Linked DNA regions of Arabidopsis thaliana. The protein of the gene in region 1 interacts with the protein of each later gene in a pairwise test. Each region holds a gene or a part of one and is shown in the gene's direction. Other genes may lie near its edges.

Region 1 (3,816 bases):
TTTTATTTTAGATTTTTTTGTGTTTCTATTCCCAGCGATCTGGAGCTAAAGCCTGTTGGAATGTTAGAGGTGAAGCTTGTGCAAGCAAAGAACTTGACCAACAAAGATCTAGTTGGAAAATCAGACCCCTTTGCTAAAATGTTTATACGCCCTTTGCGTGAAAAGACTAAAAGAAGCAAGACAATTGTAAGTAGTCCATCTAATCCTCTTTTTGTGCTAAACCTACCAGAATGATCTGATTTATATTTATTCTCATCAGAACAATGACCTGAATCCCATCTGGAATGAGCATTTTGAATTTGTTGTGGAAGACGCGTCAACTCAACATTTAGTGGTCAGAATATATGATGACGAGGGTGTACAAGCATCTGAGCTTATTGGTTGTGCCCAAATCCGGCTTTGTGAACTTGAACCTGGTAAAGTGAAAGACGTCTGGTTGAAGCTGGTCAAAGATTTGGAGATCCAGAGAGATACTAAGAACCGTGGAGAGGTTAGATCGGCTATAAATTTCCCCTAATTAAATAAACCCTGTGATTTTGTATCTGTACATGGCTAATGAATGGACGTTATTGTTGATTCTCTGTAATTTAGGTTCACCTTGAGCTCCTTTACATCCCTTATGGTTCGGGAAACGGCATTGTAAATCCCTTTGTCACTTCATCGATGACGTCCTTAGAGAGGGTGCTCAAGAATGATACAACAGATGAAGAAAATGCATCAAGCCGTAAAAGAAAAGATGTCATTGTAAGAGGAGTTCTCTCTGTGACAGTGATATCTGCAGAAGAGATACCAATACAAGATCTGATGGGGAAAGCTGATCCATATGTTGTTCTCTCGATGAAGAAATCAGGTGCCAAGAGCAAAACTCGGGTAAGTCCTCTCATTTAAAGCATCAAAGAGTTATCCATGTTATAGATGTTTCATCCTCCTCATTAACTAATGGCAATTTTGCTTCACCAGGTCGTCAATGACAGCTTGAACCCGGTATGGAACCAGACTTTTGATTTTGTAGTTGAAGACGGGTTACATGATATGCTAGTCCTTGAAGTCTGGGACCACGACACCTTTGGAAAGGTAAAACCAAACCGCAACAACACTGTTATTTGATGGTTATTATTCTGCGTCATTGCACCAAATGGATGTTTTTCTCGTTTGGTTTATTATTTATTGTGTTGGCATTGGGCATTGGAAAAATGAAACATTGTGGCTTTACTTTTGTGGACAGGACTACATTGGGAGATGTATCCTCACGTTGACAAGGGTTATAATGGAAGAGGAGTACAAAGACTGGTACCCATTAGACGAATCCAAAACGGGCAAGCTTCAGCTGCATCTGAAGTGGATGGCTCAATCAATTTATCGTGATTCCTAAGCTTAATCGGTAGAATCAATTTATCGTGATTCCTAAGCTTAATCGGAAGATTCACAACTTCGAATGTACATGTTGTCTAGTAGCGTCAAACGGATGTGTTTTGTCAAACAAAGACGAGTCTGCATGTAGCCCAGAAGCTGTGGACTCGGAATATGAGTTTTCCTCTTTTTTTCTGAAAACCCTAGACAATACTCGTGTACGTTTGCCTCATAAGCTCAGATGTCATAAGGGGTTTGATCTTTGCGTGCATCACAATCCTTCAATAATTTTTTACCTTTTACCCTAAAATCTCGTCTACACGTATCACCATATTTGTCTTCACCAAGTTTGTTTCACTATCATAATCAGCGATCTCTTGACACATATTGACTAGTCCTTGTTGCTTATTATCCTCAAGTGAAGCCAAATAAGCCACGCACACTCGGTGACACCTTCAATGTTTGCCATGTGTCATAGTCCATGCAAATGCCCACTTCATTTTATTAAGACGAGAGCTATACAAACACCGTCTCTTCTTATTCACTTGCTGCTAGTTATAAGAATCAGACAGAAGTTGCAGAGAAAAGAGAATTAATTGATTGGTGTAATGGAGAAGGCAGTTCATTTATCCACCAAAAATGGACCCAAGGTTCCAGGAGAGCCAACGAAGACCGGAACCTCCATGGTTGACACGGCAGCTTCAGCCGTACAAAGCTTCGCTCCGATTAACCAAATCCACCAACATCTCTGCGCGTACGCTTCTGAAATTGTTAATCTTCTCTTTTCATTTTATCTTTAAACAAGAAATAAAGAAGAGGATCGGAAGAATGAGGGATAATCATAACAGTATAAAACCTACACCACATTTTTTCGTTTAATAGATCTGTCAAATTCTTGTAGTTTAGATTTAAAAAACATTGTATTGATATCTTACGTAAATCAAGTTAATCAAATTTTCTTGAATTTTTAATCGATGTGAACACGTGTGGAGTTGTGTACATGCATGCAGAATGAAACTTAACTATTTCATATGAGTTTGTTTGCATCAGTAAAAAGATGAACTATATATATCCTCTCCTTTTTGCGCTTGTCATAGGTTTCATTTCTATGCATATGACATGACCCGACAAGTGGAGGCACACCATTTCTGTGGTCACATCAACGAAGACATGCGCCAGTGTCTGATCTACGACGGTCCTGATGCCAACGCTCGTCTGATCGGTCTGGAGTACATTGTGACAGAGAAGCTCTTTATGACATTGCCTGACGATGAGAAGAAGCTTTGGCACACTCACGAGTGGGAAGTTAAAGGAGGCTTCTTGTTCATGCCCGGTGTTCCCGAAGCTATTCAACGGCAAGATCTCGAAAAAGTCGCCAAGACTTATGGGAAAGTTTACCATTTCTGGCAAGTCGATTTGGGGCATCAGCTTCCCATTGGCTTGCCTAATATCATGATGGCTGTTACTCGAGACGGACAACTTTATCCGGAAATGATCAAGGGTACGTAGATTTGTCATTTATAGGTTATGCTTAGTCAAATATGCTTTTATGAAAGTTAACATGAACATTTTGAAATGTTCAATGGGTGACCGCAGAGACGGAAAAGCAATTTGGAGTATCGATAGACAAGGAGCGAGAGTCAAGGGCTTATATGAAGGGTCCAGACCATGGGATCCATCCCTTGGCAAATGGAGGAGGCAAAGGCCTGAAGTTGGAGTTGCGAGAGGTTGACATAAAGCCGGTTGAGTCCGTTCCAAGAGTCTTCGTTTAAGTTATACTTAAATAGACAACTTAAGAAGAATAAATAAATAAGCGATCGAGCTTTTCTTTTGTATAGCCCTCCTCGAATCATGTGTATAAGATGTAAAATACACTTGAAGTAGTATATTATGGTGTCGTCTAGTGGTTTTAAATATTACGTCTTCATGACTCCAGTTCATTATCTTTTATGACCCTGCGGGTAATCGTTATTATAACCTTAGAGAAAAGATGATAATACTATGACCAAATGGAAACTACAAAATTTGTTGAATCACACTATGATAAATAAAGGCCCCAGTGAAAAGAAAGGAACAGAAGCGTAGTCTTGTCATGTGTGTGTATAACAAATGTAAGACACTTGAGGCATTTTGGTGAGCGACGACTGCATCTTCTTTATTTGAACTTGTCTCAATTGAAATGGAAGAACAGAGAGACCTCTGTGTTCTCAAGATTGAACAGCCAATTTCTGAAGATGTTGGAAGAAGACTTGAAGACTGACATCATCCGTGAAGATTATATCAGAGCCTGCATTCATCTCGCTTGCATTGTTGTATGTTGCTGACGGATTTAGCTTTGCTAACAGAAACCTTGCCTGTCCATTATTGCCATACGTATTACAGAACATCAGTAAACACTAGGCAACTTTCAGTGTTTCACACTTGAACAATCAACTACAAATTCAGAGATGAAAGGGGTTAAAAACA
Region 2 (6,025 bases), on another chromosome or scaffold:
TAATTAGCAGTATTATAGAACTAACTCAATAAATTTCTAAGTTAGTTCTATAATACTGCTAATTAGGGAATAATTGTCTCCTTATTTATGGGTGCGCGTACAGGTATGTGGTCCATATGTACCTTTATACCGGCCTACCAATCGTATCTAATATTTGTGTTGGATTTGGTAAATTTAAATGTATTAATTACTTCATATTATTAATGTGTTACAGATCACGATAGAAAACCCACATTTTGAATATTTTCGACCGACCGACCTGATCAAATATAAATAAATTATCAATTTCCTACCGATATATATTTTGTTAGTTTTTAATTTGAATGTTTTAATAAAATTTTGTTTCTTTTGTTAAAAGGTTAACTTTATATAATGTTACCCTCTTTCTAAAAATATCTAAGGGACATGATATTTTGGAAAGTGGTAATCTTTGTTGTATAATTTTATTTGTTTTTTTTATATATATAATAATAATGAAGTTTTAAAGTGACAGTCTAATATTTGCAACTCTGAAATCAACCTTTCATCTTTTTTTTTGAGATTGTCATTGTAATATCAAATGGACTCGAACTAAAAAAAGTTTATGTTCTTTCCAAAAATCATTTGATGTATAACCTTATAGATAGTAAATTAGCAATTGATGATAATTAATTAACAACAATGAACAAACGATCTTTAGAGTAACAAAAATAGCAATATGATAAGAAGTAAATTTAACGTAAACCTTAAACAGTGGTTAAATTATGAATTAATTTATCCAAATACTTATTAGTTATCCCGTCGCTCTAGTTGATGATAAGTAAATATATTTAAATCTTCCCACTGAGCTTTTAGTATTTGTATTTTTTTTTATCCCATTAACTATTTTATGGTCAACCAGCGTCGTCGTGTCGCCATTTTGTGAATCAAACTAATTTATTTAAGTAGCTTTGGTCAACCGAAACTTTCCTAATGACCTTCGTTACGTCCTCTATCCGCAAATTGCATTGCATGGGCGTCAGTTTTTTTTTCCTTTTTTCTTAATAACGCGTCAATTTATTTTATGATGATGATTATGTTTAGTTGAAATAATCTTCAGTTATTAATTAGATATTTCTTGGTAAATATTTTTTACAAATATGCTGTCAGAAATTCAAAGTTATGTATTTCCATACCATATTGGACTCCATACTTTATATCTTCTCAGTTGAGTATCCTTCAAATTCACCTGTTTTGGAAATTGGAAATATAATTTAGTTTTAGAAATGTTTTAAGTTAAAACATAACAGTTAACAAAGAAAAGATATAGACAATTTTAAGACTTTTAAATGTGAGGGATTCTCACTTTTTCGTTGTTTTCTAATGGTTCCAATTCATAGTTATCGTATAATATTATTTAACGAAACATTAGTCAAATAAATAATCTATCTATTCGCCGACTGTATGGCTGAAAATATTAGCTGGAGCTAGACTCGTATTGAAAAAATTAATCCATATATTTGTTGCCTAGGAGAGTGACATTTTGACCTTTTTAATAACATACCAAAAAGGCCGTTTATTTAATATATTATCCAGATAGCAGCGTTGAATCGGATTTTGGTTGGTTTTGGTTTATGTGTTTTAGATTTTTGGTTAAAGCAAACCACTAACTTAAGTCAGGTCAAAGTATTTCAGCAAAACTAATTCTCAAATAATCACTTTTACTCCGCAAAACTGCTTGTCAAAATATAGTTTTGACTTCCAACGAGCCATTTTTTGCTAATTCAGTTTAACTAGTATACGCAAAAAAAAAAAATGTTTAGATAAATTAAAATTTCGGTTAACTTTTATAAAAAAGTTTCAGTCTGTCTGTTTGATTCGGTTTACTTTAACTAAATGCCACTATCTTAAAAGATGAAGTAAACATTTATAATAATTCGGTATGGTCGGTACAATCAGTCTAGTAAAACCGAATTGAGAAAACCAGGTCGGTTCGAATATATCCAAAAACCGAAAACACGTGTGAGAAAGAAGAAATCAGGGAATTAAATCTGACAGTCTTTATAGTTTTCTTTAATATGTCTTCCCCAAAAAATCAAATTATGAATAAAAAAAGTGGATCGCAAGTTGCAGTTTGGTTCTTTACGGGCAACGAAGGCTGTTAAATAACAGCCATAGCTTTTCTTCGAAACGAACCCAAAAAATAATATCAGAGAATTTTCATCATTACACCTTTTTTTTTCTTTTGCCTTTGCCTTTGCCTTCACACGTCTTCTTGTTTGTACTCTCCACTTTTTTTTTCTTTGTGTCCTTTCTTCTTGTTCTTGCTCTAGTTCGTGTCTCTTCTTTAACTCTCTGTCACTATTATAAATATCAAACTCTGACATTTTCTTCTGTTCAAATTCTCCTCGAAACTCCCCCAAAGAAACAAAATCTTTTTCTGAGATCTAAGAAGATGAAAACAAGACGTGGGAAACGTCCTGAGGTACACAAGATTAAGATTCTCTCTCTTTTTTATTCTTGTTTCTTTAATTCTCTGATTACAAAGATTCTGATGTTTTCTCGTCTTTGATGTAAAACAGAGGTTTTGGCCATCAATTGTGATGAATAAATGGTTAAACAGAAAACCTAAAGTTTACGATTTTAGCGAAGACGAAATTGATACAGAACCTGAGAGCGAAGACGATGGTAAGTATTGAAATTTAGGTCAAATTTGGTCTATAATTCCGTGTTTTTTAATCTTAATTGTTTTGTTGGGTCCCTTTTACAGTATGTTCGGTCAAAGACGTCCCAAATGTTCACTGTGTAACTGATGAAGACAGCCATAATGGTCGTCGAGGTAGCGAAGCTGATCACGGCAATAATATTTCAGGCAACGATTCTTATTTCTTTTTTTGGAAAATTTTTATATTGAATTTTTTAAAAAAATCTCTACATTCATTAATCATTTGAATAAAAAATATGGTTTTTCACAAATAAAATAACAGAAGAATAATAATATATTTTCTGATTTTTTTTTTTTTTTTAATCCTTTAGATGGTGGTGTGAGTGTGAGGGGTGGTTACCAAAGGAAACACCGGCGAGGCAAATCGGAGACTTTGAGAGCTCAATACATTAACACAAAGGATATCAAGTAAGGGTGTTTCTGGAAGTTTCATCTCTCTTTTTTTACCGGTGAAATATCTTCTGACTTTATTATTTATGGTGGAATTACTTTATAGAGTGACGGTGGCTACATGGAACGTCGCCGGAAAACGTCCCTCCGATGATCTCGAGATTGAAGATTGGCTCTCTACTGATAATCCTTCAGATATTTACATTATCGGGTAAGTTAAAAAGTCACTTCAAATTTTACTATTTTCAAAGAAAATTTACTCTTTTTTTTCTTCTTCTCAAAAACAGAGTATTTTCCTCTGTTTTGATGAACCTATATATCTTTATTGATGTAAAACTTGTTATAGGTTTCAAGAAGTGGTTCCATTAAACGCTGGAAACGTTTTCGGAGCAGAAGATAGAGGTCCGATTCCGAAATGGGAATCGATAATTCGTAGAACACTAAACAAATCCAATAAAGAATCAGTTTATGATCAATCGCCAAGCTGCAACAACAACGCTCTTCATAGATCTCACAGCGCGCCGTCGTCTCCTATCTTGGCACAAGAAGCAAACTCCATTATCTCTCATGTCATGGTAGAGAATCTAGTTGCGGACCACTCGCTGGATTTAGCTACAAACGAGTTCATCGATGCTGCAACCGCTTTACCGAGCCTTGAACCACAGCGGAATCCGAACATGGACTGGCCGGAACTAGCTTTAGATAGCAACCCTCAGATAGTTGGATCAGAGGGGAAGCTAAGGAGGGTATTTAGCAGCAACGCGACGCTAGGATTTAAGCTACCGGAGAATCCATCAGGAGCTAGTAGATTTGCTTCGGAAGCAAGACAATTGAAACGCTCACGGAGCTTTGAAACTTTAAACTTGAGTTGGAATGATATAAAAGAAGAGATTGATAATAGGTCCTCCTCCTCGTCCGAAGCGGAAGAAGCTGCAAAAATCATGCATGATGATTCATCAGACGGAGATTCGTCTTCCCAGGACGAAGAGGATGGTGACAAGATCAGAAATAGTTATGGATTGCCGGAAGATTTGGTGGAGGAGTGTCGGAAAGTGAAAGATAGTCAAAAGTATGTAAGGATAGTAAGTAAGCAAATGGTTGGGATCTATGTATCGGTTTGGATCCGACGACGGTTAAGAAGACATGTCAACAACCTGAAAGTCTCACCGGTCGGAGTTGGCTTGATGGGCTACATGGGAAACAAGGTAAAACAAAAACCTAACCCTATCTTCCTCTCCAAGTAACCCCAACCTTAACTTTTTTAGCACTTTCTTAATATATTTGATATGCTTGCAGGGATCAGTGTCGATTAGCATGACGTTGTATCAATCACGGATGTGTTTTGTGTGCTCACACTTAACTTCCGGCCACAAAGACGGTGCTGAGCAACGCCGGAATGCTGACGTGTACGAAATCATACGTAGGACTCGTTTTGCATCGGTTCTTGACACTGATCAACCAAGGACGATTCCATGTCACGAGTAAGCAATAATCAAGATTACAAAACGTAAAGCATTAAACGTTTTTTGCTTTTACTAATTGAATTTTTATGTCGGAAATTTTCAACAGTCAAGTATTTTGGTTCGGAGATTTGAACTACCGACTTAATATGTCAGACGGTGAAGTAAGAAAGCTTGTCTCACAAAAACGATGGGATGAGCTCAAGAACAGTGATCAGGTTCGGTTCTTGATTATGTTTAGTTTTGATAGTACTTTGTTAAGTTTATTTTCATCTATTAGACATTTAGACTATTATGTTAAGTTATTAAAACAAGATTTCAATTTAATTACACAGTTGATTAGAGAATTAAGAAGAGGGCATGTTTTTGATGGATGGAGAGAAGGACCGATTAAATTCCCTCCAACCTATAAATACGAATTCGATTCTGATCGTTACGCCGGAGAAAACTTGAGAGAACCGGAGAAGAAGAGAGCTCCTGCTTGGTAAGTGACTAAATTGAACATTTGAAAATTATGTGGTTATTTTTAAATTTACGAAACATTTGGGTGATTCTTAAATTGTTTATCTTGTTGGTGTTATTAATAGGTGTGATAGGATATTATGGTTAGGAAAAGGAATAAGACAAGAATGTTATAAGAGATCGGAGATAAGAATGTCCGATCACCGGCCGGTGACTTCGATTTTTAACGTTGGAGTTGAAGTGTTCGATCACCGGAAACTTCAAAGAGCTCTTCACGTTAATAACGCAGCTGCTTCTGCTGTTCATCCTGAACCTTCTTTTTGAGTCTAATAAGTGTCTTATAAAAAAGAATAATAATTTATACGCTAATTTCTGTAATTTTTTTTATACATGGGATTCGTTTGGGTTTTGATTTTGTTATTGTTTTGTTCCGGTTAATCTATAATCTAACCAAATTTATTTTTTTTACTTGTCAATACGAGCCTTTTAATTTATTTGAATTCACTTTATGATCTACTATTTATCATTAAAATTTTTGTGCTATACATAAATTTAGTTGATCCAACTCTGAAAACCATTTGACATGCAAATAATGGACCAAACAAACTCTAAATTAAAGGAGTTGGTCTGCTGTGAATCTTTTAAATTGAAGAACAAACTATGGTGCAAATGTTTTGTCTCAAAATAAGAAGTTGAAAGAGTTGAATAATCATTCATCTCATTTCGTACCATCTGAGATGAATAAGTTGAAAAATTCATTTAACCCATTCAAAAAAAAAGTTAGAAAAATAAATTAACTATAAAAGAAATTTGTAATGAGTTGAATAATGTCCAACTTTATTTTTGTTTAATTCATATTTTTCAATCATTCATTTGCATGTAACCATTTGCAGACTTATTTTTTAAAAACTAATTATTTGTTTCGATACCCGAAAAGATGCCAAAAAGAGTATTTGTTTATGCATTGGTAATAAGTTATTTTTTCTCTACAATAGTTCAAAATTCCTATAGAGATATGTTTACTATAATT

Evidence for each region. Proteins that work in one complex are often made in the same cells at the same time.
Region 2: the proteins of AT1G05510 (region 1) and IP5PII interact in binary tests that used the Arabidopsis thaliana proteins (3 or more experiments, as listed by UniProt).

Annotation. Positions count from the first base shown.
Region 1 is NC_003070.9:1,627,569-1,631,384, forward strand, and holds AT1G05510 (naphthalene 1,2-dioxygenase subunit alpha (DUF1264)), read left to right. Parts: upstream 1-1,877; 5' UTR 1,878-1,958; coding exon 1,959-2,104; intron 2,105-2,447; coding exon 2,448-2,851; intron 2,852-2,946; coding exon 2,947-3,122; 3' UTR 3,123-3,295; downstream 3,296-3,816. Other genes in the region: NTMC2T2.1 (Calcium-dependent lipid-binding (CaLB domain) family protein), read left to right, coding at 36-186, 260-490, 592-870, 961-1,074, 1,226-1,372; AT1G05520 (Sec23/Sec24 protein transport family protein), read right to left, coding at 3,558-3,704.
Region 2 is NC_003075.7:9,990,488-9,996,512, reverse strand, and holds IP5PII (myo-inositol polyphosphate 5-phosphatase 2), read left to right. Parts: upstream 1-1,988; 5' UTR 1,989-2,413; coding exon 2,414-2,443; intron 2,444-2,540; coding exon 2,541-2,646; intron 2,647-2,728; coding exon 2,729-2,830; intron 2,831-2,994; coding exon 2,995-3,091; intron 3,092-3,179; coding exon 3,180-3,284; intron 3,285-3,419; coding exon 3,420-4,278; intron 4,279-4,369; coding exon 4,370-4,554; intron 4,555-4,642; coding exon 4,643-4,751; intron 4,752-4,868; coding exon 4,869-5,017; coding exon of another isoform or gene 5,018-5,021; exon of another isoform or gene 5,022-5,120; coding exon 5,121-5,319; 3' UTR 5,320-5,512; downstream 5,513-6,025. UniProt on the Arabidopsis thaliana protein: Has phosphatase activity toward Ins(1,4,5)P3 and Ins(1,3,4,5)P4. Seems to be involved in the abscisic acid (ABA) signaling pathway. Could also be able to hydrolyze PtdIns(4,5)P2 and PtdIns(3,4,5)P3.